Linked DNA regions of Macaca fascicularis. The protein of the gene in region 7 interacts with the protein of the main gene of each other region in a pairwise test. Links are inferred from orthologs where the notes say so. Each region holds a gene or a part of one and is shown on either strand. Other genes may lie near its edges.

Region 1 (3,204 bases), about 33 Mb from region 7:
AAATATATATATTTTTTGAGACAGGGTCTGGCTCTGTTGTGCAAGCTGGGGTGCAGTGGCACCATTGTAGCTCGCTGCAGTGTCCAAGTCCTGGGCTCAAGTGATCCTCCCACCTCAGCCTTCCAGGTAGTCAGGAATACAGGCACACACCACCATGCCTGGCTAATTCTTTAAGAATTTTTGGCCGGGCGCGGTGGCTCACGCCTGTAATCCCAGCACTTTGGGAGGCCGAGACGGGCGGATCACGAGGTCAGGAGATCGAGACCATCCTGGCTAACACGGTGAAACCCCGTCTCTACTAAAAAATACAAAAAGCTAGCCGGGCGAGGTGGCGGGCGCCTATAGTCCCAGCTACTCGGGAGGCTGAGGCAGGAGAATGGCGTGAACCCGGGAGGCGGAGCTCGTAGTGAGCTGAGATCCGGCCACCGCACTCCACCCTGGGTGACAGAGCGAGACTCCGTCTCAAAAAAAAAAAAAAAAAAAAAAAAAAGAATTTTTACAGAGGCAGGATCTCGCTTTTATCTTTTCTTTTCTTTTCTTTTTTTGCCTAGGTTGGTCTTGAACTCCTGGCCTCAAATGATCCTCCCACCTCAGCCTCCCAAAGTGCTGGGATTACAGGCGTGTGCCACCGCGCCCCACCCAGAAATATTGTATTGTAAAAGACAATGAAAAGCATACAAAACAAAAATGATCAGTGAGAAGTTAAATGCCTGGGCAAAAAGGGGTTAGGTCTGCAGCGCTACACCAGATGTAACTTACAGCTGCAACTAGCCGAAACAGCATTACATTTGTTAACTCAATACTTGGTGGCCAGAAATTTATGTCAGGATAATTCATTTGAGCACAGACTAAAGGGTTTGGACTTGTACTTATAGTCCAAGTTTCTCAAACTTGCTGGGTTTTATGAATCATCTGACACCTTAGTTAATAATACAGATGTCCAGGCGGCTCCCTTATAGATCCCGATTATAATGTGCGCTTAGGAAGCGGCCAGGCAATCGGGATTTCATGGGTTCGGTGCTACCCAGCCCAACGTGACAATGAGAGATCGCTCTGCTTGCCAGGTGAAGGACCTGACGCTGGCGGGAGGCGGGGACTACCAGGTCAGTCCCAGGACAGCCGGCTCCGGCAAGCTCCCCCACGGCATGGCAAGAGCCCAGTGGAAGTTAGCACAGTAAACCCAATCAACAAGCCGCAGTCACCCTTCTTCCCCAGAAATGGCCTCTTCAGCTCTTGCGGGGGAGACTCTGAAAGTCCCCAAAGGACAGAAGTCTAGGAGGAAATGATTGCCGCACAAAGGGATACAGTCTTGGCTACTAAAAACCCCGCGTAGCCGCCTAGGGACCCGCCCCCCCGCGCAATGCTTCTACCCCCTCCCTATGCAAACGCGCAGAAAAGAAACGCGAGATCCCAGTGCTTGGGCGTGGTCCCACCCTGGCCAATGGAAAATGAGGGCGTGACTTTAAGCCTTTCTTTCATTGGCCCAGGGTCCCAGACCGTCCAGGTCTTGGTGCGCCGCGGCGGAAATCGCGCGGGTACTGAAACGCACTATCTGCTTCGGGTCCTGGTGCTGCGGCTGCCGCCATCATGGTGCGGAAGCTTAAGTTCCACGAGCAGAAACTGCTGAAGCAGGTGGACTTCCTGAACTGGGAGGTCACCGACCACAACCTGCACGAGCTGCGCGTACTGCGGCGTTACCGGCTGCAGCGGCGTGAGGACTACACGCGCTACAACCAGCTGAGCCGTGCGGTCCGTGAACTGGCGCGGCGCCTGCGCGACCTGCCCGAACGCGACCAGTTCCGCGTGCGCGCTTCGGCCGCGCTGCTGGACAAGCTGTATGCTCTCGGCTTGGTGCCCACGCGCGGTTCGCTAGAACTCTGCGACTTCGTCACGGCCTCGTCCTTTTGCCGCCGCCGCCTTCCCACCGTGCTCCTCAAGCTGCGCATGGCGCAGCACCTTCAGGCTGCCGTAGCCTTTGTGGAGCAAGGGCACGTACGCGTGGGCCCTGATGTGGTTACCGACCCCGCCTTCCTTGTCACGCGCAGCATGGAGGACTTTGTCACTTGGGTGGACTCGTCCAAGATCAAGCGGCACGTGCTGGAGTACAATGAGGAGCGCGATGACTTCGATCTGGAAGCCTAGCGGATCTCCCACTTTCCATGGCTGTCTTTTACAGATGGGAAAACTGAGGCCTGATTCTGGAGATTCTATGAGGGTGCTTTCCCCAAGGGTGTCAGATGGTCGTAGGTTCTTAAGAACTTGATTCATCAGTGGCAGGCCTTGCATAGAGCCACGGGAGATGCGTCCTTGTTTTCCAGGAAATGTTCTTAGAACTTGGACTACTGATTATTAATTGACTCTGCCTTGGAAAGCAGTGGGAAGTAAGTTGGTGCTGCACTGGGGTATTGTTGGCTTCTTGTGTTGGAAACTTGGTAATCTAAAAGGAAAAACCGCAAATCCCTACGCCCTGTTTCCCTTTATCTAGTCTTGTAGTTGGACTGGTTCAATTCGTTTAACTCCAATTCTTGCTCCTGGCCGTGGTTAAGCTGTGTACAGATGATGGAGAGTTTGGCCTTAAGTTTTTATAAACTGAGCGAGACTAGTGTTCAGGATCTCCTCCCTTGTTTAAATGCCAATAAATGCCCCAACTGCTTTGTAAGTGCAACTTTTTAATCTGTCTGGTTTTCCTTTATTTTCTCTAGAGATGGAGTCTCGCTCTGTCACCCAGGCTGGAGTGCAGTTGAGCGATCTCGGCTCACTGCAACTTTCGCCTTCCGGGTTCAAGCAATTTTCCTGCCTCAGCCTCCCGAGTAGCTAGGATTATAGGCACCCGCCATCGCGCCCGGCTAATTTTTGTATTTTTAGTACAGTCAGGGTTTCACCATGTTGGCCAGGCTGGTCTGGAACTCCTGACCTCGTGATTCGCCCGCCTCGGCCTCCCAAAGTGCTGGGATTACAGGCATGAGCAAACTGTGCCCAGACTCTGGTTTTCTTATATAGAGTCATATTTATAGGTCCTAGGAGCCCAGAGAAGAATAGGGTCAGCAGCGAGCGATCTGCCTATGGATGAGATGTGCAACAGGGGCCAGATGTGGAGGATGCAGGATGTTGTACAGGATTGGGCAAATTTGTCACTTTACCAGTCCCTTCCTTGGAATGAGTGTTTTGGCAGAGCTCTTCCTCACATAACTTCCTGTTGATATT
Region 2 (3,000 bases), on a different chromosome or scaffold from region 7:
ATACTGGGCCACGGCACTCCAGCTTGGGCGACAGAGAGAGACTCCATCACAAACAAACAAAAAAGGCCCGGTGCAGTGGCTCACGCTTGCAATCCCAGCACTTTTAAGAGATCGAGGTGGGCGGATCACCTGAGGTCAGGAGTTCGAGTCCAGCCTGGCCAAAATGGTGAAACTCCATCTCTACTAACAATACAAAAAAAAAAAAAAAAAAAAAAAAAATCTGGGCGCGGTGGTGGGCACCTGTGATCCCAGCTACTTGGGAAGCTGAGGCAGGAGAATCGCTTGAACCCGGGAACTGGAGGATGCAGTGAGCCAAGACTGCACCGTTGGCGCTCCAGCCTGGGCAACAAGAACGAAACTCCACCTCAATAAAGAAAAAACAAAAACCAAAAATAAAAATTACCTGGGTGTAGTGGTGCGCACCTGTAGTCCCGGCTACTCGGTCGCCCCGTCTCTACTAAAAATACAAAAATGGCCGGGTGTGGTGATGCATGTCTTTATTCCCAGCTACTCGGGAGGCTGAAGCAGGAGAATCGCTTGAACCCGAGAGGCGGAAGTTGCAGTGAGCCGAGATTGCGTCATTGCACTCCAGCCTGGGTGACAAGAGCAAAACTCCGTATCAAAAAAAAAAAAAAAAAAAAAGTTAGCCAGGCCTCGTGGGGCGCACCTGTAGTCCCAGCTACTGGAGGGGCTGAGGGAGGATAATCACTTGAACCCGGGCAGGGAGCCGAGATCGCACCACTGCACTCCAGCCTGGGCGACAGAGCAAGACCTTGTCTCACAGACAAACCAAAGACGGAAACAGATACAGCCATTTCAAAGACGACTGAAAAACCTTTTTATTCACCAGAGCTCAATACTCAGGGTCCCAGCCCTGTGCCAAAAACTGAACAACTTAAAATCTGACTGGGGTCCTTCTTTTCTTTGCCCCTAAAATAAAAGCTAGGCCGTTGCCTTTCCCATCCGGGTACTCAAACCCCTGTCTTATCGGCGGTTCCTCGACTTAAAAGTTGGAGGATGAAAAATACAGGAGGAAAAAAAAATATTCTTTAGTCAACTATCACGATTTGGGGGGTCGGATGGGAGGTAGTGGAAAGATGTGCTTCTTGCTGGGAAAAAGGACCCATCGGTGATTTGGGGATGGGGGCACGTGCCGAGTGCAATGGGCTGAACAAGGGGAAGAACAACCAGGGGGCATTGAAAGGTGTCAGCTCACCCCATGACTCTCCATCCGCAGGTGAGCCTATGAAGACACCGTGCCCTCCAGTGACACGGTGCTCTCCAGCGTCCCACTCAGCTCCTGGCGGATGGGTGCTGAGGTCAGGGAAGGAATGAACCGGTGTGGTCCACGATGACACCGTGGTTCTACAGAAGGGTGAAGGTGGAGAAGGCTGGTGTTAAGTGGACATCCCATCTTGAAGTTCTCGGGTTGGCACTTCTCAGCCAGCCTTCTTCAGTGTCTCCTAAGGGCTGGCTTGGGACAGCACCGTGGAATCCTGGAGGTTCAAAAATCCAAGAACTCCACAAGGAACGGAGAAGTTGAAGGGGCAGGGCTCCTGTCACCAGCAGGCCCCACGAGAACAAAAGATCCATGAACCGGGGCCCAGAGGGCGCTACAAGGCCATGCAGGAAGGGTTCCCGCGCACCAAGGACCCTGGGACGCCCACAGGCCAGAGCTCCCAGAGCTGACAGGTCCAAGGGGGCGGGGCTGGCCTGGCTCCCAGGAGTCTCCACTGTTTCAGGATCCAGCCAAGGTGGAGTTCTGGGGGCCAGAAATTCCAAAGGGCTGGGTGACTGGAGGAGAGAGTTTAGGGACTTGGGTGGGACAGACCAGGAGGGTCAGGGGTGCGGGTGGTGGACATCTCACGGTCCTCAGCGCTTGACCCTGCGTCCGGCCGAGTTGCGCCCGCTGCGGCGGTAGAGGGACTGCTGGCCACCGTTGAGCGGGCAGTACTTGAGCGTGTGGGCCTGGTCACCGGTGGCACCGCACACGGGACACACGTAGTGCCTCAGGATGGGACACACCACCACGCCGTCTGGTGTCTTCAGCTGGTGTGAGGAGTAGACGTGGCGGGACTCCCCGTTGTGCTTGCAGAAGTTGCACAGGGTGCCCAGGCCCCCGTTGGCCCCTGATCCTCCCAGCCCCTGATCCTGCCCCAACGGGGGCCCAGGACTTGGCTCCTCAGTCTCTTGGGTCTCCAGCCTTTGCCCCCGATTCGCGATCAGCGCCCACACCACTTGGCTCAGGTTGAAATAGTCCTTCCACATGTCAAAGGGTGGCAGCTGCATGGCACCAAAACAGGGGTGGTGGGCCACTGGAGAGGGGCTGGGGCTGGGGGCCCGTAGGCAAGGGCAGCAGGCGTTTCCCAGAGCAGAAGGGAGCTGCACCCCCTTTTATAATGCCCAGAGACTCTTCTAAGCAAAGGTGGAGCTTAGGATTTAAAGGGCCCACTCCCTGCCCATAACCCCTATCTGACTTTAATTCTTCACAGAGATCTGGAAGGAGATCATTCCCCTGGTCTCTGGTCCCTGCTCTGCTGCCAAGGTGCTCTGTGTCCTCTGGGAAGACAGTTCCACTCTCTGTGCCTCAGTTTCCCTATCTGTTCAAAGAAAGCCCATGTCTGCAAATATCCCCCACCCCTAGGCTGGAGGGGCTACACCCTTCCTAGACTTCAGAGTTACTGCTGATCATCATAGCAACCAGGCTGGGCGCGGTGCCTCACACCTGCACTCTGGGCACTTTGGGAGGCCGAGGCAGGAGGATCGCTTGAGCCCAAGACCTCTAGACCAGCGTGGGCAAAATAGCGAGACCTTGTCTCTACAAAAATAAACAGACAAAAATAATAATAACAACATGACCCGATTTATTTTATTTATTTACTTGAGACAGTGTCTCGCTATGTCACCCAGGCTGGAGTGCAATGCGTGATCTCTGCTCACTGCAACTTCAAGCGATTCTTCTGCCTCAGCCTCCTGAGTAACTGGGATTACAGGCGCCCA
Region 3 (4,583 bases), on a different chromosome or scaffold from region 7:
CTGGCATTGCCTCTCCACTGAGCATGTAAGAATAAACAAGATGGGTGGACCCTGCTGTTCTCCAGTAATAACGCTGATGAGGAAAATAGAAAATGGACAGACAAAAAGAAAACTTATGCAATTGGAAATAATTAAAATAGTGACAGTACTAAAAGTGAGACGGTAGTCAGGGAAGACCTGCCTCTTTTTTTAAAACTTTATTTTTATGTCTGGGCACGGTGGCTCACGTCTGTAATTCCAGCACTTTGGGAGGCTGAGGTGGGCGGATCACGAAGTCAGGAGTTCAAGACCAGCCTGGTCAACACGGTGAAACCCTGTCTCTACTAAAAATACAAAAAGTAGCTGGGCATGGTGGCAGGCACCCGCAATCCTAGCTACTCGGGAAGCTGAGGCAGGAGAATTGTCTGAACCTGGGAGGCGGAGGTTGCAGTGAGCCGAGATCAGTGCCATTGCACTCCAGCCTGGGTCACAGGGCAAGACTCCGTCTCAAACAAACAAAAACCACACACACACACAAACAAAAATTCTTTTTATTTGTATTATTTTTTAATTTAGAGACTGATTCTCACTTTGTTGTCCAGGCTGGTCTTGAACTCCTGGGCTCAAGCAATCCTCCCGCCTCGGCCCGGCAATTTGCTGGGATTGCAGCCATGAACCACCACACCTGGCCAAGACCTGCTTCTTGGAGAAGGTGACAACATGCTAAGCTCTAAACGGAAAGAACTTTCCACTTACGGGAATGAATGGCACTACAGGTTCTTCCTGCCCACTACAGACAAAACCAATTCACTGAGAAGTGCTACTGCAGTATAGAGTTGTATTAATGTGACGCTGGCCTCAGGGAAGAAGGGTTACCACTCAAGTAAGTTTTCCTGAAGGGTCAGCCCAGAGGTTAGTGTTTTTCAGCTGGTTTGGTGTGGGCAGAGCAACAGGGAATGGGTGCTGCTGATTGGTTGGAGATGCAATCATAGGGGTGTGGACTACACTCCTCAACAGCTGAGCCCGCCTCTTGGGGGAGGAGTGGGGCAGAGGAAGCGGTTGGGTCATGAGTCACGAGTCCAGGTGGGGTCACTTAGTTGCCAGAATGCGAAAGTCTCAAAAATGCCTCAAAAGACCAATCTTAGGTTCTACAATAACGACGTTACCTACAGGAGTAATTGGGGAAGTTACACATCCGATGTCCTCCGAAACAATGGCTGGTTATCGTTTACTACATTTTAGCAGAATTCGCCCCTCATATACCTAACCTCCCGGTCTTTCATTAATTTCATAAAGGCAGTTTCAGCCCCCGAACAAGGCGGGGGACTGTTTAAGGGAGGGACTATGCTCATCCTTGCTTAAAAGTTAAACTATAAATTCTCCCATGGTGAGCTTGGTTTATGCCCAGGAATGAGCGAAGACAGCCGCCCTGCGAGGCTAGAAGCAAGTTGGAGTGAGCCATGTTAGATTTCTCTCACTCTTTGAAAAGGCGGTTTCCAGGAACAGCGTTCAGAGTAGGGGAGTTTCTATTAGACTCCTTTTGGTCATTTTTTTCTAGTCCTCCGATTCTGAGCTCTTCCCAACCCTTTTCTTGGCCACTCAACTCCCGCTGTCCTTGCCCACGCGGATTCTCGCGGCTGCGCGAGACCCTGCCCATCCAAAACGTTTCACAGCTAAAGGGTCCCAACTTCCGGAGGCCGCCCGGAAGGGGCGGGGCTTATGGTAGCTCATTTGTACGCATCGGCCCGGTTGTCTGAAGGCTGACGGAAGTGCTGTATGTTGTTGCCGGAAGTGGGAAGAGAGAAAGGTTGTGATGGCGGCTGTCGCTGCATCCGAGGTGAGTTCGAGCGACTCTACACCGGGGGTTTTGTTGGTGAGGGTTCCGGGGAGCGGCCTGGAGAGAGGTGGAGGCGAAGTCTAGTTTCGCTTCAAGGAGGCTCAGACACTGGGATCAAGTCGGCCGTGGAGGCCCTAGGCCCAGCCTGTGGGGACCGGCGGGGACTCGGCCTGGGCCGTCCTGGGAGAAGCCGACCTGGCTCTGCCTGAAGCCAGTTCTCTTTGCCGCAGGTGCTGGTGGACAGCGCGGAAGAGGGGTCCCTCACTGCGGCGGCAGAGCTGGCCGCTCAGAAGCGCGAACAGAGACTGCGCAAATTCCGGGAGCTGCACCTGTTGCGGGTGAGTAGTCTTGGAGGCCGGCTCAGATCCGTCACCTGGCCAAGCCTTTGCGCTTTTGTAGAGGGGACGAGGAAGCCACACCACTGCGTCTGACAGACCAACAGAGCAGGATCATCTGAGAGGAAAGCTCTGTTCGGTGGTACTCAACCCTGGCAGCACATGGGGATCGTTATGAGAACTTTTGAAAATATACCTGTTCACTCTAGCCCCCCTCCTACCCACATCCAATTTAATGTATCTGGGTTAGGTTTGCGAGTCTCCATTACTAACAACCTCCCTGCTCTGTGATTCTAACAAATTCTTCATTTTACCTAGGGAAATATGTAGAGCTAGAGACAGGAAGAAACTTGTGTCAGTAAGAGACCTGGTTCACTTGATTTAAAAAATAATCTTCTATCAGAATCTGTTTGAAAAGGGAGAAAATAATCATCTGTCTCTAGGACTTCTGGGGGAAAAGAATAAAAAGAAAATTAAAAAAATAATGGGAAACCTTTGAAAGTCTACAGCGTGGTAGTTCCCTGGAAGTGCAGAGGAGGAGAGATGAATGCAGTTTGTGGGTCTCCAGGGGGTGCCTCGTAATAGGTGACACCTAAACTACTGTTTGAAAGCCAGACAACTAAAGGAGTTAGAGAAAGATAATCCAAGCAAAGGGAACAAATTCAAAGAAAATTTGTATTAGGGATAAGAGTCCAGCAAATAGCTGGCTGCAGTTGGAGCTGAGAAAGAGAAAAGCAGCCCCTATTTCAGCATGGAGTGACCTGACAGGCCATGGGTTCACAAAACCCCAAAATCACTCTGACTGTTGTAGTGAGACAAAACAAAGAAGACTTCTTGAAGCACAAGAATGACCACGTATTTCTTTATTCTGGCTAACACCAGTGACAGTTATTACCAAATACAGCATTAGTCTCCGTTACTTCTGCCTCCTATATAAAAATTTAAGATACCTAATTGTAGAAAGCCTCTGCTTTCTGACAGTACTCAATCCAGATCCTTAACCCTCACCCCAGCCACCTGATACAAACCCAAATCCTGGAACGAGCCCCTGCTAACGCCCTTTCACTCAAATGCCCACAGTTCCCCGTGGTTTGCTCTCTTCTTCTATGCAACAGACTCAACTTTGTTGACCATACGTGTGTTCTTGTTGTCTTTAATTGCAGGACTTTTCCAGAGCCAAGAATATACTAGGGATGGTAGTTGGGAGGAGTCTCTCTCTTTGCCTAGGGAAAGTTAATCTAATAAACAATTAAAAGGACATGCTTAAATATTTAGAGTGATTGTGTAAGGAACACATGTTTGGAAATTAGGAGGCAGGGCTTCATGGACAAACTGCCACCAGCTTATGACCTAAGAAATGTCTAACTTAAGTTTTCCTTAAGATGATATACTCATTTTGTTTTATACAATTAGGTTTATTTAAAAATAGACACCTCTCCCCGCTACCCCAAGCTTCAAAAAAAAAAGACTCTTCAATGGTACTTCAAATTCCTTTCATTTTTCATTTGCCAATGTAAACTGTGAAAATATTTTTAAAAGGAGGGGAACTTGGAAAGCATTAGAGGCATTAAGATAGGTATTAAATCCTCTAACCCAAATTGAGGCATTTTTCTTGAATCAGGATTAAAAGATAATTGAGGCCCGGTGTGGTGGTGCATGCCTGTAATCCCAGCACATTGGGAGGCTGAGGCGGGCAGATCATTTGAGGCCAGGAGTTCGAGACCAGCCTGGCCAAACTGCAAAACCCTGTTTCTACTAAAAATACAAAAAATAAGCCAGGCATTGTGGCACATGCTTGTAATCCCAGCTACTTGGGAGGCTGAGGCAGGAGAATTGTTTGAACCCTGGAGGCGAAAGTTGAAATGAACTGAGATGCTCCAGTATACTCCAGCTTGAGTGACAGAGTGAGATTCTGTCTCAAAAAAAAAAAAAAAAAAGAAAGTGTCTTTCACATCATGTGATGTAATTTTGTTTTTTGAGGTGTCTTGCTCTGTCACCCAGGCTGGAGTGCGGTGGTGCAATCTTGGCTCACTGCAACCTCTGCCTCCTGGGTTCAAGTGATTCTCCTGCTTCAGCCTCCCGAGTAGCTGGGATTACAGGTGTGCGCCACCATGCCTGGCTAATTTTTGAATTTTAAGTAGAGACGGGGTTTCGCCATGTTGGCTAGCCTGGTCTTGAACTCCTGACCTCAGGTGATCCACCTGCCTCAGCCTCCCAAAGTGCTAGGATTACAGGCGTGAGCCACCGTGCCTGTCCGATTTAATATTAATGCCAAATAAAGTCTACTTAAGTGCCACTATAGTATGGTCCCCAATGTTGCAAAACCTTGTTCTGATCCAATAAAAAGGGACCACACAACTCAATAGAGGCAAAGCTGATTTTAACCCCCAGGGCTCTGGAACAGCAAACCAGTGCAACTCAACACATTTTTC
Region 4 (4,476 bases), on a different chromosome or scaffold from region 7:
TGTAAACAGTGCCAACCTGTTTACCAAATGTATAAAACTTGGTAAAATCAGTTGTTTCACAGTCAGAATTCATGCTAAGGTTAAAAAAAAAAAAAAAAAAAAAAAAAAACCTGCTAGGAAAGATATAGCAGTAATTAGAGATTCTCAAGAGCAACACTTACGTTCTAAGTGGATTTACATTTGTTCCCCTTGGCCAAAGACTGGGGCTTTGGTGTAATATAGTAGGCTGGATCTTTTGATTTTTTTACCCCACTTGATTTTTGAGAAGAGCAAGAGTGTTTCTAGCCAATCATGGTGCTATCAGCATCAGGTGATCTCTGGCCAGGGCCTCTGTGCATGTAGCATGTATGGTATAGTATAATAGAAGCAGGTTAAGATCATTGTTCAGAACCCAGGCACTGGCAGTAATGTTGGGTTCAGACCCGTCCTCTTCTTATTCAACTTTTGGAAGTAATTTACCTAATGTCCCCAGGCTCATTTTTATCATTGGTAAAATGGATGTAATAATAGTTCCTAACTCTTGGAGTCAGTGATATAATTAAATGAGATCACCTGTATTAAGCACTTAGCACAGTGTCTGGCCCATAGCGAGTTCTGAATATACATTAGTACTCTTTCTATAGGAAATCCTCTTTATAAAATTGTAGATTCATTTTAAATGACTTAAACACAAATGGTTATAGTATCCAGGAACCTGCTTAGTTCAGATTTTAAGTATTTTTAGCTGAAAATCTTTGTTGTGCTCAAAGAACATGTTATAGTGCTACTTCTTGTTTCATCACATGAATACAATTTCTGTGCTCTGCTGCAATAGACTGACTTCTTTGTCTGCCTACTCTGCCTGCCTGGGATATGTGAACTATGCCAAGCCTTCTTACCTATGAATACTTCCTCACACTGCTCCCCTACATTTCTCTCCCACAACATATTTGTGACTGTTATCATAATACTTACAGACATTTTCCTCTTTTTCTTCCCTTTCAATAAGAATTCTTAATTGTGCAGACTCAGGATTGAGAGTGACCGACATGCCTAAACACACACACATTCATTCACGATCACATAATTCATGCAGTCTTTTCCAAAGCATGAAGGGCCTAAGCCTTCTTATAAATGTAAGATCGATCAAAAAATTTTTGAAGATTCAAATAGTAATCTTATTCATTTTATAAATTTTTTTGGAGACAAAAGGGAGTATTATGTGGGGTTTTCTTTTATCCTATTGGGCGGGCAGCTGGCCATTGAAGAGCCATTCATTGCTTAGTCCCGACACTGCCTTTCCCCATTGGCTCTCTGTAAGAGTCACATGCTTTGTGCGTCCTTGAAAAGAATCTTCTCAGGCCTCAGCATCTTATCTGAGTCTCCTGAATCCCACTTAGAACTGTGTTGAGCTCTCACCCATCACGATGAGCAACAAATTCCTGGGCACCTGGAAACTTGTCTCGAGTGAGAACTTTGACGATTACATGAAAGCTCTGGGTAAGAAATGCTTTTTGTTGTTCTGCTGAAAAGCTCCTTTTTGAGAAAGCTACATGACATTTTCATCTAACACCTTTAACAGGAGACGGGGGGGTTTGCACAGGCCGCAGTAATTCCTCTTTTAGGATTAATCTTTTTTGTGTCATTCAGACAATTTATTTGAATTTTATTTGTGGTAACTTTTAATAGACTTTAACTTAAATGAGAGAGCTGCTTAAATGCATGAAACTCCCACTGATTTCAAGGGCAATTTCATACCAAGAGAATTTTGGTTGCAGATCCAGAGGAAAGAAAGCTTAAAAGCATAGTCAACCCATTTTCTGGCTTTTCTGAGAGCTACGTTCATAGCAACTAAAGTGTTCATAAAATAAGGAATTGAATATAATGCAAATCCTAGAAAACCTTAATTTAAAATTTTAATTTTTAGCTAAACTAACAGTTTTTTCTCTCTACCTCTAGGTTGTCCTTTATTACACAATCATGTAGATACAGAGAGTTTGAAAAACAAAAATACTTCCTAAAATACTATGTTCATAGCCTAGGGAAGTTACTGAGAGAAAAAGAACTGGAGTTGTGGCAGTAAACTCAAACTCAATTTCACTATCATCAGACGTTTCTGGAGTTGGAGGAGTGAATGGAGATGGAAAACCGAGTCATTAGTTACAACAACTTTATTTTATACTATTTCTAGAGTATGTCCCATCGATATAAACACAATAGATATGAAGAGTCTTTGGGAATTTTCAGAACTATATGAATATAACAAAGAGTGATGCCAGTGACCTGAGGTTGCTGTGCTTGTCAAAGTGCCTACAGCTTTACTTAACTGTTCAGAAAGCTTGTATAAAATGTTCTATTTTAGATAAAATGAGCAAAGTCATGTCATTGTTGCCTGGAACACTAGGATGAATTCATACTGTGAGACCGGTTAGATTTAAAGACTTCACTTTACAGCTGAGGAAGAAGCCAAATAAAAGAAAGTGTCCGTGAAGGATTCTCTAATTTCATTGTTTTCCAGTTTAGTGTGCAAAATAACACCTTGGGATTTGGTAAATATAAATTCTCAGGCTCGGTCCCAGAGATTACGATTTAACTTGAAAAACATTGTCCTAAACTGTATAAAATAACAAAAGATTAATCAGAATTTGAAGAAAGAATATAGTTTATAGTTTATTGGCTATAACTCTTAACTTCTTATTCAGTATATAAAAATTTGAGATCGTTTTAACTGGAAAAAGTATATCCAAGCATTGAGGCTTCCTGGAAAACTAGTTTTTCTTTCATATTTTTCTATTTGACGTTTTCCTTTTTCCATCTATTTTATAGTCTTGGTAATAATGGTAGTAAACTTAAGAGTCTAATTGTGTTTCATTTTTGAAATGTAGAAGAGTTTTTTAAAAAAAATTTTATCTCTCTATGATCATTTATAATAGTATAGATCTCAAAGGTGGATGGATAGTTGTTTTCCTACCAGCTAGATAGAGAAGTCACAAAATTTCAGAAGTGAGATTCTATCAAAAATATGAGGGGAATACTTCTCCATATCCATAATATGGTATTGAGGGAAAATATCGTGGAACAATATGTATATGCTATAGTCTTATTTTAAAAATATATCTATAGTATTTGTACATGCAAACTAAAATCTCTAAAGTGATTTATGCAAATCTATAATTAGTAATTTTCAATGGGGAATAGGATTGGATGTGATAAAAATAGATGACTTGCACTAGCTATTTCAGCTGGAAACTTTAACTCTTGAAAATCTGCAGACATTGGCCAGGTGCAGTGGCTCACACCTGTAATCCCGGCCCTTTGGGAGGCCGAGGCAGGCAGATCACGAGGTCAGGAGATCAAGATCATCCTGGCTAACACGGTGAAACCCTGTCTCTTCTAAAAAATATAAAAAATTAGCAGGGCATGGTGGCGGGCACCTGTAGTCCCAGCTACTCGGGAGGCTGAGGCAGGAGAATGGAGTGAACCCGGGAGGCAGAGCTTGCAGTGAGCCGAGATGCACCACTGCACTCCAACCTGGGCCACAGAGTGAGACTCCATCTTAAAAAAAAAAGAAAAAGAAAAGAAAAGAAAATCTGCAGACATTACTTTTGGAACAACAAAACCTAAAACGTGTGAGTCCTGGGCATGTATTTCCATTGGGAGTGAAACATGGGAGGAGACACTTAGTAGTAAGTGATATTACCTGCCATCGACACACCTGGGGCACCACTGAGCAAAGGATGTGGCCACCACAGCCTGTTTGGCTATGCTCTCTTGGTCACCATAATTCTAACACTATCTTAATTTTCAGGTGTGGGGTTAGCCACCAGAAAACTGGGAAATTTGGCCAAACCCACTGTGATCATCAGCAAGAAAGGAGATATTATAACTATACGAACTGAAAGCACCTTTAAAAATACAGAGATCTCCTTCAAGCTAGGCCAGGAATTTGAAGAAACCACAGCTGACAATAGAAAGGCCAAGGTAATCTTTAATATTTCTCTTCAAACTTGGCCCAGTGGGCTGCTTGAGAGAGAGGAATATTCCTGCCAGTGCTTAAAAGGATAAACTCCATTCTGTTGAAAAGCAGTGTATCTCCTAAGACATCTATTATGAAAATGGTTCAGTACTGAAAGAACTGCTTCTTTGATCAACAAATTTCAGGCAAGTCAATTGCATGACCTTGTCTTTGCAGAGCATCGTAACCCTGCAGAGAGGATCACTGAATCAAGTGCAGAGATGGGATGGCAAAGAGACAACCATAAAGAGAAAGCTGGTGAATGGGAAAATGGTAGTGGTAAGAGTATTTTTACTTCTAAATAGAGAAATAATGCTATATAAATAATTTGATTATATTATTTTCAAAACATTATTTGTTCTTTGGAATATGAATGGATAAAAATGACTAAGAATAAAGTAATAGTTGATGCTTAAGTGATATTTAAACTATTACAGACTCATCTTCAAGTACTGACCCAAGATTTTAGAAATAAAATAGGC
Region 5 (3,884 bases), on a different chromosome or scaffold from region 7:
AGGATCGTGGCAATGTACGTCTCCTCCAGGGGACCTGGTTTAAGCTGGAGAGGAAGGTGGGACAGCAGGGCCTCAGCTCCTGTCCCAGGCCCAATGCCTGAGTTCTCCTGTCTCTCTGACAGGGGAGGGCTGTCCCTGCAGATAGCCGGGGGCTTCATGTTCCTTTACTTCTCAAACACAACTTTCAGACGGGAGTGGGGTGGTCTAAAGCATATAAACCAGCTTCGCTTTACTGTCATGTAACAGAAAAACAGGCTCCCAACCATCTCCCAGCGTGCCTGCCCCCGCCCACTCCCACAGGCCAGGACCCCTTTCAGCACCAACTGGGCAGATGTGCGGATGGCAGTTCATTTTTGCTTTAGACGATTCGTAATTAACACCTAATGTGCCATGACACCAAACGAGAGGTGGCCCCTGGAGCCCATGAGTCTGAGGAGCAGGGGACTCGGACACTGCATGACCCCCCACTGCCATGGCCTATGCCTCACCAAGTCCAGTGCCGAGCCGCCGCCCAGGTACTCCATGATGATCCATAGCTTGGTGCTCTGGGACCGGAGACAAACCCATCAGCATTTGGCAGTGAGAGGAAGGGCATGCTCCAGGGTGGGAGTCAGGCCGGAGTCAGCCAGGGCCCAGGCCCCACCGGTCCCATCCCTGCCAAGAACCCTAAACAGGAAGGGGCTCCCTCGGCCTTGCCCATCTCCCCGCCTGCCACACTGCTGCTACAGATGCTCAGAGGACGGACTGAGTACACAGAACAGTGGCTAAGTCTACTTCACCAAGACCCCGTCAAAAGCCAGGCTGCTGAGCCAGTCCTACAGGGCTGGGAAGAGGGCATGGCTGGCAAGCACATGGCCCAACACACCCATCATCTTCCTGGGCAGGATGGCCACAGCGTTCCCTACACCCCAGACCCTGGCACCACCAGAAACCTGCTCCTCACAGGCCCTCACCACTGCCAGCAGGGGCGCCCCAGAGTGCTCCTGGCAGCACCCTCACTGCATTACCACAGGCAGGCAAGTGGGTCCCAATGGCCACTCAGAGCCGAATGACCCTCGTGGACCCTGCTCGCACCCTGCCTGCCCAGGGCAATTTCCTGGAGGGCATGCACTGAACTGTCAAGGCCGCCTTGCACCCTCTGGCATGTCACTCAGTCCCTCTGACATGGAAGAGAGGGCCGGGCACACCACCAGCAGGGCCGCCGCCGCCTCCCCCCAACAGGCACCTTTAGGTAGGAGCCAAAGTAGCGGGTGATGTAGGGGCTGTCGCACTGGCTGAGGACGGTGATCTCCTGCTGGATGTCCTCAATCTCATCCTCGGCCTCCTCCAGGTCGATGATCTTGATGGCCACCACCTCCTTGGTGTGGTTATCGATGCCCTTGTAGACCTCCCCAAACGAGCCCTTGCCGATGCGGTCAAGCTTGGTGAAGAGCTCTTCAGGGTCCACTCGAGAGTGCTGAGGGGCCGGTGGGGACAGAGGGCAGACAGTGCCGGTCACGAGAGGCTGGGACAGGCAGAGGCTGCCCTGCTGGGGAGGAAGGGACCTGTAGGGAAGGGGGAGTCCGAGCGAGTGCGCCTCAATTCTTCTCTGGTTTCTTCCTTTACCCCTTTTTGTTTAAAACCTAAACTTGGCTGGGTGCAGTGGCTCACGCCTGTAATCCCAACACTTTGGGAGGCCGAGGCAGGTGGATCACTTGAGGTCAGGAGTTCGAGACTAGCCTGGCCAACATGGTGAAACCCCATCTCTAATAAAAATATGAAAAAATTAGTTGGGCGTGGTGGCTCATGCCTGTAATCCCAGCTACTTGGGAGGCCGAGGCAGGAGAATTGCTTGAACCCAGGAGGCAGAGGTTGCAGTGGAGCCAAGACCGCACCATTGCACTCCAACCTGGGCAAGAAGAATCAAACTCCGTTTCCAAAAAAAAAAAAGCCTAAACCTAAACTCAACTCTCCACGCAAGGGAAAAAGTCCCCGGAAAGTATAAAGAGGCCAGGCCAACTCAGTGAACCTGCTGGAAACAGGAACCTTAGGTGATGACAAGGCATGAAGGTTGCCTCATCTAACCTACCATGCAGCCCCATGAGAGATGTTAATAGGTTAATAGCCCCTGGGGGTTAGGGGATTGGGAGCTCTTAATTTGCTATAAATCTGAAACTATTAAAAAATAAGCTCAACAGGCCAGGCTTGGTGGTGCACACCTGAGATCCCAGCACTCTGGGAGGCCAAGGCGGATGGATCACCTGAGGTCGGGAGTTCACGACCAGCCTGACCAATATGGTAAAACCCCATCTCTACTAAATACAAAAAAATTAGCCGGGTGTGGTTGCGCATGCCTGTGATCCGAGCTACTTGGGAGTCCAAGACAGGAGAAGCGCTTGAACCAAGGAGGTGGAGATTGTGGTGAGCCGAGATCAGGCCATCGCACTCCAGCCTGGGCAACAAGAGTGAAACTCTGTCTCAAAAAAAATTTTTAAATTAAAAAAAAAAAAACAAAAACTCATCAAAAACAAAAAACTCTCGGTATGTGTTAACCAAGCTCTCCTTCACTCCTAAAAGCCACATATTTAGAAAGGGCTTCCCTCACCCCTCCGTAAGTCCTCCTGACAAGTACACCAGCGCCGGGTCAGAAACTGATGCTTTCTTGATGCAGAAAACTGCCTCCCACAGTCCTCAGATTTAAAGAAGCAACGCCTGAAAGTTTCTGAGCCACCGGTGTGGAAGGTGCCTGGTCTGTGACCCAGGCCCAGAGTCCAGGGGAAGCCAGGAGAGGTGTGTCCTCAGGCCTCCATACTTTTTTTTACTTATTTGAGATGGTGTCTCAATCTGTCACCCAGGCTGGAGTGCAGTGGCACCATCTCAGCTCACTGCAACCTCTGCCTCCTGAGTTCAAGCAATTCTTCTGCCTCAGCCTCCCAAGTAGCTGGAATTACAGGCATGCACCACCACCCCCAGCTAATTTTTTGTATTTTTAGTAGAGATAAGGTTTCACCATCTTGGCCAGGCTGGTCTTGAACTCCTGACTTCAGGTGATCTGCCACCTCAGCCTCCCAAAGTGCTGGGATTATAGGTGTGAGCCACCATGCACGGCCCCTCCCCCCACAACATCAAGGGTCTTGATGCCAATTTAGTGTGGCACAGCATAAAAAGGCAAAACGGGCTGGACGCAGTGGCTCACGCCTGTAATCCCAGCACTCTGGGAGGCCGAGGCGGGCGGATCACAAGGTCAGCAGATCAAGACCACCCTGGCTAACACGGTGAAACCCCATCTCTACTAAAAAATACAAAAAATTAGCCAGGTGTGGTGGCGGGCGCCCGTAGTCCCAGCTACTTGGGAGGCTGAGGCAGGAGAATGGCGTGAACCCGGGAGGTGAAGATCGTGCCACTATACTCCAGCCTGGGTGACAGAGCAAGACTCCGTCTCAAAAAAAAAAAAAAGGCAAAACGACTAATTATGCCCCCAAAACACTGAGGCCCAACTCATTCTGGTGCTGAAGACAGGACGGGTCCTTGGATGGGGGTGCCCTCCACGTTCCTGGGCCTGGGGAGACCGTGCCCTCCAAGGATGGGGTACACCACATACAGCCCCCACGCTCACCCCCTGGACACGTGTGCAGGGTCCATCCCAGGCCTAAGCCCAGCAGAGGAGTTGGTTGAAGCCAACTGGACATTGCACCAGCCCAAGGCGACATTTCCTTGTGAAACTGCCAATTAGCTGACCTCCCAGGGTTTGCAACCAGGAGGGTGGAAGGGGCGGCACACAGGCCCTCACCTTGAAACATGCTGCTACACATCCCTTTCTGAGCCCCAGACCCTGAGGTGACAGGAACTCTGGGGAAGGAAAGGCAGTTAGGGGAGGGCCAGAGGCCACCTAACCCTTCCCTGCA
Region 6 (4,593 bases), on a different chromosome or scaffold from region 7:
CACTGCCAGGACTGCCTCAGTAGGCACAGGGGTGTCCACGGCTTTGACCCCACAAGTGTCAGATGCTCTTACCATCTGACCACTGAAGGGTATCCAGTTCTGGGCTAGATCCATATCAGTTGCCCTATTGCTGAACCAAACAGGGCCAGGGAGGGCCCCACCCAGGGGACACCCTTTCTGGATGGCACAGACCTGGGCACAGAGAACACCCTCAGGGCAGTACAGACCTAGCACTAGGCATCTTCAATGAAACAAGAAAATATAGGAGGTTGATAGTAGGACTATGGCTACAGACAGCTGCAAGGGTGGGGGGCAGTCAGCATGATCTGGTCATCAAAGTCAGGGTGGGTCTTTCCTTAGCCACAAGGCCTGGGAGCAGACAGCAGGCAGACAGCCCTCTGCAAGCACAGAGCCAGGCAGCCAAGCCCTCACTGAGACAGGCGCTGCTGCACCTCGCTGCCTGCTCCAAATGATGCAGAGATGCTTACTAGAGTGAGAGACGAACCAAAGGGTGCAGGATCACACGCAGTGCGGGCAGCAGCCCCAGTCTGAAGCCTGCACAGACCTGACCAAGGACGCCCCATACTCCTAAGGAGGCTCATGACATAGACAAGGAACGAGCAAATAGCAAACGATAGATACAGTCAAGCCCCCAGTTGTGGGATGCCAGCCAACAATGGTTGTGCCCAGATGTCAGACCCCCAGTGAGGGGGATCTAGATGTGGGGTCCTAAAAAGTGGAACTAGTCACAGAACAGCCTGAGCCTGCCTGGTAAAGGCACAGGCACCAGTCAGAGTGGCCAGTCCACAAAACAGTCCCACACACCCCACTCCATTCACACATGCTCCACATGCAGTCTTAGCACATGCACACGCTGACACGTGTGCACACACACCTCTTGCTGCACCCACACCATGCCCACTCCTTGTGACAGAGGACAGCATCCCTGGCACAGATATCTCAGATCCACCCCCACCCCCGGCCACCCCTCACCCCACCTTCCAAGCCGGCTGTCCCTGGGACTGAGGTTAAGAGGCACCACCACAGAGAGGATGCCAGAGGAGGTGGCCTCCTCTGAGGGGACCAGCAGCTTGGGCGAGAGGTGGCAAGACAGAGCCCAGCATCTATCCTGAGGCCAGGAAGCACACACTCACCTGGAGCTGCAGTGGAGGCCTGCAGGCTGGCCCGCTTCTTAAAGGGATATTTGGCCTTGGGCTTGCCAGAGCCAGATGGATAGGATGCCATGGCTGGGACCACGGCGGCGACAGCGGGGGAGTCTGAGCGGCACCGGCTGGGGCCTGGCTCTGCCACATCCAACCCCTTCCTCCGCCCCGCCCCCAGCGGGAGTGACTGATGCAGGAAGCAGCGGCTCCGCAGGCGGAAGAGGCCCCGGCCACGATTTCTCATGTTGTCTAGGCAACCTCGGGGAGTGGGGCCTCCATCTCTGCCCCCTATCCCTCCCCTCCCTCCTCAGTCCCAGGAGTGACGTGACTGATGGTGGCTGGGCTTGGCGGGGGGCGGGGGAGGGAGTGGGTAGAAAAGAAGATGGGGAAGGGCCAGCCCCCAGCTCTCCACTAACCCACCAAGAGCCCTCACCCCATTATGCCAGGGCTCCAGGGCAAAGAAGCCAAAGTCCAGGCTAGCTGGTCCTTCCAGCTAGTCTGGAAGAAAAAAGAATAACAAATAGGAATTCAGCAGCGAGTGAGTCCAAGCTCAAACACAGTCCTCCCGGGGCAGGGCTGGCATACTCCGTGAAAACCCAGCACCCACTTTCCTTCCACATCTGACCCTCAGCTCCGGGGGTAGCTCAGCTCTGGGAGGAGGGGGAAGAACCGAGAATCCCAGCCCAGGAGGGAGGGGCCTGTCTTGGGAAAATTCCACCGTCGCCAAATAGCTACCTCCTAGGAAGGCAGGAAGGCCAGGAGACCCCCTTGTCTGGGGGTCTGGGACAGAGACCCTAGCCTCTTCGGATTTTTCCTCTGGCTCTGCACACTCTGGCTCTGCTCCCCAGGCCCTCGTAGGAAGAGCTGACCGCCTTCCCTACGTCCTGCTGCTGTGCTGTGACTCCCACCCTCTTGTCACCCTGGCCACAGCACTTCTCTGTCCCAGAGACCCTCCCTCCAACACACGTACACACACTCACCTGAAGCCATGGTGTCCGAGTTCCGAGGGGAGGCTGCCCACGAGGGTCTGCACAGCAGAAAGCCCGGGTCCTGAGAGAGGGCAGGGTGGTCGGGCCCCAGACTCCGGCCAAGTCACTCCAAGGGCCCCTGCCCTGGCACTGAGATGGGGAAAGTAAGGCAGTCTTTCAAAATTGCCAGCTGGCCGGAGGTGGACTCCCGCAGATCTCGGCAGCCAGACTGGCCTCAAGGCGACCCCGGTGTCGCGACCACCCAACCCCGCAATCGCAATCAAGAGACGGGTAGGCCACGTGCTCCCAAGGGAGCGGGACCCGGAACTCGTCCAGGTTTCTCGCAACACTCCCTGGGCATTCAGGGTCGGACTCCCGCGGCCGGACTGTGGTGGAGTCACGCAACAGGTGCGATCCCACGAAAATCTCGCCGGCTCCGCGCCAGGCTCTGCGGCCCTTGGCCCCGCCCCCGCCTGGCCCCGCCTCCGCCTGCCGACCCCGCCTCGCCATTTTTTTCTCTTCCTGGGCGCCACGTGGGCAGCCGCCACACCGTGGTAGGGCTGGCCTGAGCTGACCCTTGATCTTGGGCCAGTTTCGTGCGTCAGCTTCCTCATCCGTAAGATGGGGTAATGACAGTACCTCACTCAAAGGGGTTACTGTGAAGATTAAACGTAAAGTCCCTTTACATAGTGCCTGGCACGAAGTCAGGGCCCAGTGAAAGGTAGCTGTTGTTATCGTCCCAGGATTCATTTTAAGCAGAAGTCCTGCCCCTGCAATCTCACCTGATCGTCTGTTTTCTTCCGGCCGGCATAGGTAGGAGGCTGTGCCCTGCAATTCTGGCTCCCCTTCCCACATTTCTGTATTTGGTGGTTAAGAGCTTTAACTCTAGCCGGAATGTCTGCGTTCAAATCCAGATTTCACCTACTTCCTGACTGATACTGGGCAAGTTACCTAACTTCTCTGTGCTTCTGTTTCTTCCGTAAAATGAGTGTAAGAGTACCTGCTTTATATGGTGGTTAAGATGAATGAGTTAATATAAGTTAACTGCTTAGAACTGTGCCTGGCCTGTAGTTAGCACTTTTTTATTATTACCATTGCTTTAGCCTTGGCCTTGGTTCTCTATTGACACTCACAGGTTGATTCACTTACAGCCGTTCTGGGGTCTGCAGACATCCTATCCAACAAGCATCCCCACTGCCAAGGGGTAGAAAATCCGACCTAAAGGGAACTTGTGGAGGGAAGTCCCTAAGACTTCACTGAATATAATTAAATGCATTAGCAGGAATTAATCTCTTCCCTATTTTCCCTCTTGTGGGAGGCCTTTGCCCCCCAAACCCAGTTGTTCTAATGCTGTTTGTCTGGCTCCTCCCAGTTCTCACCACCCCCACAGCAGAGTTCCTTCCCAAACTCTGCCTGCCTCTTCTCTCCCCACGCTGGATTCTGGACTTTGAACCCTGTGCTCCACCTGCATCTGGTGCCACTTCCATTGATCCCTGTCTACTGTTCCCTGAACAAACTTAAAAAAACTTGGCCTCTTCACCTCACACAGAATCCATAGAACTAAAAAGAGAACAGAGATAACCAGGTTTACCTATCAAAATAGCAAAGACTAAAAAACAAAAAAACAAACACTAATGCAGGTGGCAAGGGTATAGTTAGTGAGATGGGAGACACACACACACGTACGTGTGCACACACATTACTGGTGGCCTTGAACACTGATATAATCTCTCTGAAAGCCATCTGGTAATATATAATCAAAAGTTTCAAAAAGGTTCTTATTATTTGACCCAGTAATCAATTTTCTGGAGTTTTTCTAAAAAAAGCTGCCAGAAAAATATGTATGCAAAAAGTTGCTCAGCACCACAATGTGTATTGCGTAGGAAAGTTAGACACTTTAAAGGCCCAACAGTAGGGGAATGTTTATGGAAGATTCATACCATGAAATACAGCCATTAAAAATTGTTCTTGGAGAAATGTTTAATGATGTGGAAATGTTTACAATATAAAGTTAGGTAAAAGAATGGATGCAAAACACTATATACAGAATGGTCCTACTTATGTGATATACATGGGTAGAAAAACACACCAACAAGTTTACCAATGATTATCTGTAGTGGTGGAATTATGGGGTATATTTTATTTATTTGCATTTTGAAAATTATAATACATACCCATAACTTTTATAATCAAGGGACTAGAAATCAATAAAAATTGGTAAAAATCCATAATTGACTCCACAGTCCCCCCAACCCAGACTTCCCTGGGTCTTAACCCCAGACTTAAACTATTCTGTTTACATTTGTGGCCCACTGAATTGGTCTTGGGGCTCTTAGGGATTTTGAGGCTGATGGACTCTCAAGAATGAATAAAATGAATCTCAAAAATCAAGCACCATGTAACTACATAGAATGTCATGTATCTTCTGATAAGATGCAAATGTTGACATAGTTTTAAAGATA
Region 7 (4,412 bases):
ATACTCATTGGTTTAAATGTCTGTAGTTGTGTTTGCTCTATAAAGGCAGAGTTGGGGAGTTGGGTAGTTGGCTACAAAATCTAAAATGTTTACTAACTGGCCCTTTACAGAAAAGAGAGGGAGAGAGACAGACAGACAGACAGACAGACCGACTGATAGACCATGGTTATTAGATCACTAACCAGGTCTCTCTCTCTTAACAGAATCACAATATGTAACTAAAGGTAACTAGCATGGACTCAACAATGCTTGATGTTAACTATTTTCCTTCTAGGTGGTCACTGGCTTTCTCATCTTCCTTGTCCTCAATTGACTTAAATTCTAAGTCAATACTATACAAATGTGGTCCAGGTTGGAGCCAGTCTACAAACTGTGACCAGTCAGGGATAAGATAAGGACAGTGACTGAGAGTGTTTAGAAACTTTTATGGTAATTTGACATTTATTCAACATCCAAGCACATAATTTTATTAAAGTATCATTCCATGCAGATTGGAATTTTAAAAAAACAAACAAAAAAAAACCACCCATCTTTTAGTAGGACTAAAGTGGTGAGATCTCAAGAAGGCAATGATGATTCATGTGTATGTATGTGTATATATACACACATATATACACATATGTATTTATTTGAATATATGTATATACTTGAATATTTGTATATATTTCAAATAAATCCAAATTCTAATTTTTCATCTATGAGTGAAACTACTGTCCTGAGCATGTATAGAAAATCAGTTCTATGCTGCCTCCTTGTGGTATCTTACTTGCAGTGAGTTTTAGCAGCAAGTCCTAAGTGTATTTGAAAGAAAGGGGTTAGCAGATAAGAAAAATAAGATAATATTAACTATTCTTTTTGAAATAGTCCATTTTCCATGAATCTTTTAAAGTGCCGTCATACAATTCATCTCTTGTTTCCTCATCACAAATCTCAAAGGTAGGCCAGGCACGGTGGCTCATGCCTGTAATCCCTACACTTTGGGAGGTCAAGGTAGGCAGATCACTTGAGGTCAGGAGTTCGAGACTAGCCTGCCCAACACGGTGAAACCCCGTCTCAACTAAAAATACAAAAATTAGCCAGGCATGGTGGCGGGTGCCTGTAATTCCAGCTACTCGAGAGGCTGAGGCAGGAGGACTGCTCGAACCGCATAGGCAGAGGATGCGGTGAGCCGAGACTGTGCCACTGCACTTCAGCCTGAGTGACAGAGTGAGACTTTGCCTCAAAAAAAAAAAATCTCAAAGGTATGTGAGGAGGAGAGAGTTTATCACTGTAGGTACATGCAGCAGAAGATACCTATATTCTTTCCAAACACCTATATATGTAGACTGAGAAATTAAAACTATTGACTATGAAAATCAAATAAGGCAATGAATATGCCATTTTAAAAGAATCTTACTCCCATATTAAGGATACACAGCTCTAGAAAAAACTAAGCATAGAGCATACGTGGTCACAGCCAACATGTTTACTTTCATTAGTTTAATAATAAAGGAATATTTAAAACGCATAAATTCTTTGTTCTAGCAATTCCACTTCTGGGAATTTTTTCTACTGATATACATACATACACAGAATTACGTAATTCATCACAACACTGTTTGCAGTAATTCTAAGTTGGAAACAGCTTAAATGTCCACATAGAGTATGGTTAAATTATGTTTATATCTAGTCTATTGAATACCATGCAGTCATTACAAAGAACGGAACAACTTTATACTAGCTGCTAAGAGTTGATTTCTAAGCTCTATTGTTAATTTATTTAAAGGAAGGTCCAGAACAGTGTTTATGGTATCTTACCATTTGTGTAAAAAGAAGCTGACACATACAAGATAAATGTTTATGAATGTATATATGTACAGAATGTATGTGGAATAATGCAAAAGGAACTGGGGGAGACAAAAATGAGAAAGTGGATGGAAGGATAAACTTAACACACTTAACTTTGATATCTTTTGAATTTTATACTATCTGCATAGGTTACTGATTAAATATAAAAAATAATATAAAAAGGGTATTATGTAGTATAACAGAATAGGTGTACCTTAGACATCAGATAGACCTTGATTTAAATTCTAGCTCCCCTGCTTTTTTTTAAATCTTAACCTGAGCTTCTGAGCCTGCTTGCTCATCTGTCAGATGGCCATCAAGTATGTGAAAACACCCAGCACATAAAAAGTGCTTAAAAAATTATCAGAAAAGAAACCACCAGGGTGAACTTCAGATTGAACCAATATTTATAAGACCTGCCTACTCCGCGCCAGGAAATGCACTTGGCAGTTCGGTCTTCACAACAAGCCTGTGAAGTAAAAAACGGTAACCTCATTGGACAGACGAAGAAAACAAATCTCCTGGCATGCGTGTAAAAGGTGGAAAGAAAATTAGAGGATTCCTAAGGTGTAACTCGGCAGCCCAAGGATTCCAGGAAAGTGAAGCCCACCTGTGGAGACGGCAGTGGAAGCTGAGAGAAGACTGTGGTCAGAGTCGTGGCTTCCCTTGACACTGTCACAGCTGCCTCATCTGGGGGGTGGCCGAAGAGAAGGCAGGTGCCAATACATTAGCGCTGCACGGACTTGGAAGATACGCGTTCCCTTACCGACCCAGACTTCTCAAAAACACCTCCCGAATGTCGATGTTAGAATTCTAGTTTACCCTCTCAGGTGCTGAGGTGGGTAAGGTATCTCACAGAAAGGATGCAGCAGGGGAGGGCAGTCCCCTCCCTGGGGGAGAGCGAGAGGGAAAGGGGTCGGGACGCTGAAGGAACTGAGGCAAGGGGAGCCGGGACAGGAGGCGCACTCACTGAGTCTTCTCCAGAACATCTCTCGATTAAACTCCTCGGTGGTCTCCTGGGCTTCGCCGACTTGCGGGTGTGGCGTGTGGGGGCCGAATGGTGGCGAGTGGAAAAGCTAAGGTAAGCGGACCTACCTCCCTCGCCCGAGCCTGGCTCCCCGCCGCCGCCGCCCCCGCCCGCCCTCTCCGCGACCCCGAGCCCGGCCTCTCCCCGATCCCGGCCTCTCCCCGAGCCCGCCCCTGCCGTCGCGCGTTCCAACTCCGTCAGCTCACCCCGCACTCGAGGCAGGAGCAACCGCAGCTCCTCCGCCAAGTGCCGGAGCTGCTGCAAAGGTGGAGCCAGGGTGGGGGCTGCGGCTGCAGGTGCAGTTGCGCTCGCCATCTCAGTCGCTTGCCGAAGGCCGCAAACACAAGCCTCCGCCACCACTGCCGGAGCCGCACTGCGACAGCCGCTCCACTTCCGGGCCACAGCGTCAATGGCTCGTTTCCGGCAACAAGCCGTCCAGCCCCGCCCCAGAGCCCCGCCCCCGCCCCCAGAGGTCCAGCACCACCCATCCCATTATGAGACCAGGCCTGGCCCCGCCTCCTCCCGCCCCGCCCTGTCCCCAGAGGTCCAGCACCAACCATCCCAGAGGCCAGGACAGGCCACGCCTTCTCTCGCCCCTTAAGCGAGGCCACACGAGCAAGGCTCAGGCTCACGGTCTTTCTTATTCATCATTCATTCATTTATTTGATTAGTTGAAAACACTTCCGACTAAGGAAGCAGAGAGCCCACAATCCTGCGGGAAAACAGGCCTGGGAACTAATCTCAGCCGTGGTCAGGGTCGGGCCCAGATCCTCAAAGGTTCCCTGCCCTTGAAATTGCACCTTTGACAGCTGCTGAATTTCAAGCACAGCGGTAGGTGCTTTACATGGGGTAACCCCTAAAAAACACACTGGGCCTCAGACACTCCCGTACACACACCCAACCCCTACCCTGTGGGTGTCCTAGATAAGGGTTTTCTCTTCACAAAGATAAATCAACTCTTTGCCTCCTTGAGGAGGGAAGGAATAAAGGCATTATTTTTGAGACTTTTCTGCAGTCCATTCTGCAGGTATCAGTAGTGGGTAATCCCTCCAACATCCAGGAGTCCAAACGAGCAGCAGCTCCCTAAAGCTCACGCACCAATACTGGCCCTCCGCCTGCTACTGGGGTAGAGGCCTAGGCTATAGACACAGAGGCTGGGCTTCTGCCCAGCTGCCAGTGGTGAGACATGGCCTTCAGGAGCTCAGGTGGCTTTTTAACTGCACCATGAAGATTCCAAGCTTGGCGGAGTTCAGTGTCCACACACAACGAATGAGAACAGGTGTCAGCAGTGTCAACCAGGTCCGCAAAGGGGAGAATAAAAAAGCTAGGGTGCCGTATGTCGCATAAAGAAAGTAGCAGGAATAAATCTGCCAGATGTACAGCAGTAGCATAAGTAGGTGAACAGGCATAATTTTCAAGTATTTTCTTTGATGGAGATGAGACCTGAAGTTGTGACCAAAGCACCGCTGCAGCAAGCTCCAACACATGTAAGCCATCAAGGGGATGTTAAAAAATGCCAGCTGGAAAAGAACAGAGCCATAGCTTACTCCCAAGTCCT

Evidence for each region.
Region 1: the proteins of CCNDBP1 (region 7) and IMP3 interact in binary tests that used the Homo sapiens proteins (3 or more experiments, as listed by UniProt). The two-hybrid records come from large-scale screens. The link is inferred for Macaca fascicularis from reciprocal best matches to the Homo sapiens genes CCNDBP1 and IMP3.
Region 2: the proteins of CCNDBP1 (region 7) and NANOS2 interact in binary tests that used the Homo sapiens proteins (3 or more experiments, as listed by UniProt). The two-hybrid records come from large-scale screens. The link is inferred for Macaca fascicularis from reciprocal best matches to the Homo sapiens genes CCNDBP1 and NANOS2.
Region 3: the proteins of CCNDBP1 (region 7) and SYF2 interact in binary tests that used the Homo sapiens proteins (3 or more experiments, as listed by UniProt). The link is inferred for Macaca fascicularis from reciprocal best matches to the Homo sapiens genes CCNDBP1 and SYF2.
Region 4: the proteins of CCNDBP1 (region 7) and PMP2 interact in binary tests that used the Homo sapiens proteins (3 or more experiments, as listed by UniProt). The two-hybrid records come from large-scale screens. The link is inferred for Macaca fascicularis from reciprocal best matches to the Homo sapiens genes CCNDBP1 and PMP2.
Region 5: the proteins of CCNDBP1 (region 7) and STK25 interact in binary tests that used the Homo sapiens proteins (3 or more experiments, as listed by UniProt). The two-hybrid records come from large-scale screens. The link is inferred for Macaca fascicularis from reciprocal best matches to the Homo sapiens genes CCNDBP1 and STK25.
Region 6: the proteins of CCNDBP1 (region 7) and AMPD2 interact in binary tests that used the Homo sapiens proteins (3 or more experiments, as listed by UniProt). The two-hybrid records come from large-scale screens. The link is inferred for Macaca fascicularis from reciprocal best matches to the Homo sapiens genes CCNDBP1 and AMPD2.

What each region holds. Positions count from the first base shown.
Region 1 is NC_088381.1:52,864,676-52,867,879, reverse strand, and holds IMP3 (U3 small nucleolar ribonucleoprotein protein IMP3), read left to right. Parts: upstream 1-1,554; 5' UTR 1,555-1,587; coding exon 1,588-2,142; 3' UTR 2,143-2,665; downstream 2,666-3,204. UniProt on the Homo sapiens protein: Component of the 60-80S U3 small nucleolar ribonucleoprotein (U3 snoRNP). Required for the early cleavages during pre-18S ribosomal RNA processing. Part of the small subunit (SSU) processome, first precursor of the small eukaryotic ribosomal subunit.
Region 2 is NC_088393.1:53,998,369-54,001,368, forward strand, and holds the end of NANOS2 (nanos homolog 2), read right to left. Parts: intron 2,284-3,000; coding exon 1,873-2,283; 3' UTR 815-1,872; downstream 1-814. UniProt on the Homo sapiens protein: Plays a key role in the sexual differentiation of germ cells by promoting the male fate but suppressing the female fate. Represses the female fate pathways by suppressing meiosis, which in turn results in the promotion of the male fate.
Region 3 is NC_088375.1:209,858,620-209,863,202, forward strand, and holds the start of SYF2 (pre-mRNA-splicing factor SYF2), read left to right. Parts: upstream 1-1,755; 5' UTR 1,756-1,792; coding exon 1,793-1,816; intron 1,817-2,046; coding exon 2,047-2,154; intron 2,155-4,583. UniProt on the Homo sapiens protein: Involved in pre-mRNA splicing as component of the spliceosome.
Region 4 is NC_088382.1:91,241,537-91,246,012, reverse strand, and holds the start of PMP2 (myelin P2 protein), read left to right. Parts: upstream 1-1,353; 5' UTR 1,354-1,406; coding exon 1,407-1,479; intron 1,480-3,787; coding exon 3,788-3,960; intron 3,961-4,171; coding exon 4,172-4,273; intron 4,274-4,476.
Region 5 is NC_088386.1:137,451,290-137,455,173, forward strand, and holds part of STK25 (serine/threonine-protein kinase 25), read right to left. Parts: intron 3,829-3,884; exon of another isoform or gene 3,770-3,828; intron 1,545-3,769; exon of another isoform or gene 1,457-1,544; coding exon 1,226-1,456; intron 546-1,225; coding exon 489-545; intron 45-488; coding exon 1-44. UniProt on the Homo sapiens protein: Oxidant stress-activated serine/threonine kinase that may play a role in the response to environmental stress.
Region 6 is NC_088375.1:124,719,485-124,724,077, forward strand, and holds the start of AMPD2 (AMP deaminase 2), read right to left. Parts: upstream 2,889-4,593; 5' UTR 2,746-2,888; coding exon 2,144-2,745; intron 1,662-2,143; exon of another isoform or gene 1,408-1,661; coding exon of another isoform or gene 1,155-1,407; intron 1-1,154. UniProt on the Homo sapiens protein: AMP deaminase plays a critical role in energy metabolism. Catalyzes the deamination of AMP to IMP and plays an important role in the purine nucleotide cycle.
Region 7 is NC_088381.1:19,780,064-19,784,475, reverse strand, and holds the start of CCNDBP1 (cyclin-D1-binding protein 1), read right to left. Parts: upstream 3,170-4,412; coding exon 2,798-3,169; intron 2,518-2,797; coding exon of another isoform or gene 2,438-2,517; intron 1-2,437. Other genes in the region: TMEM62 (transmembrane protein 62), read right to left, coding at 4,048-4,374. UniProt on the Homo sapiens protein: May negatively regulate cell cycle progression. May act at least in part via inhibition of the cyclin-D1/CDK4 complex, thereby preventing phosphorylation of RB1 and blocking E2F-dependent transcription.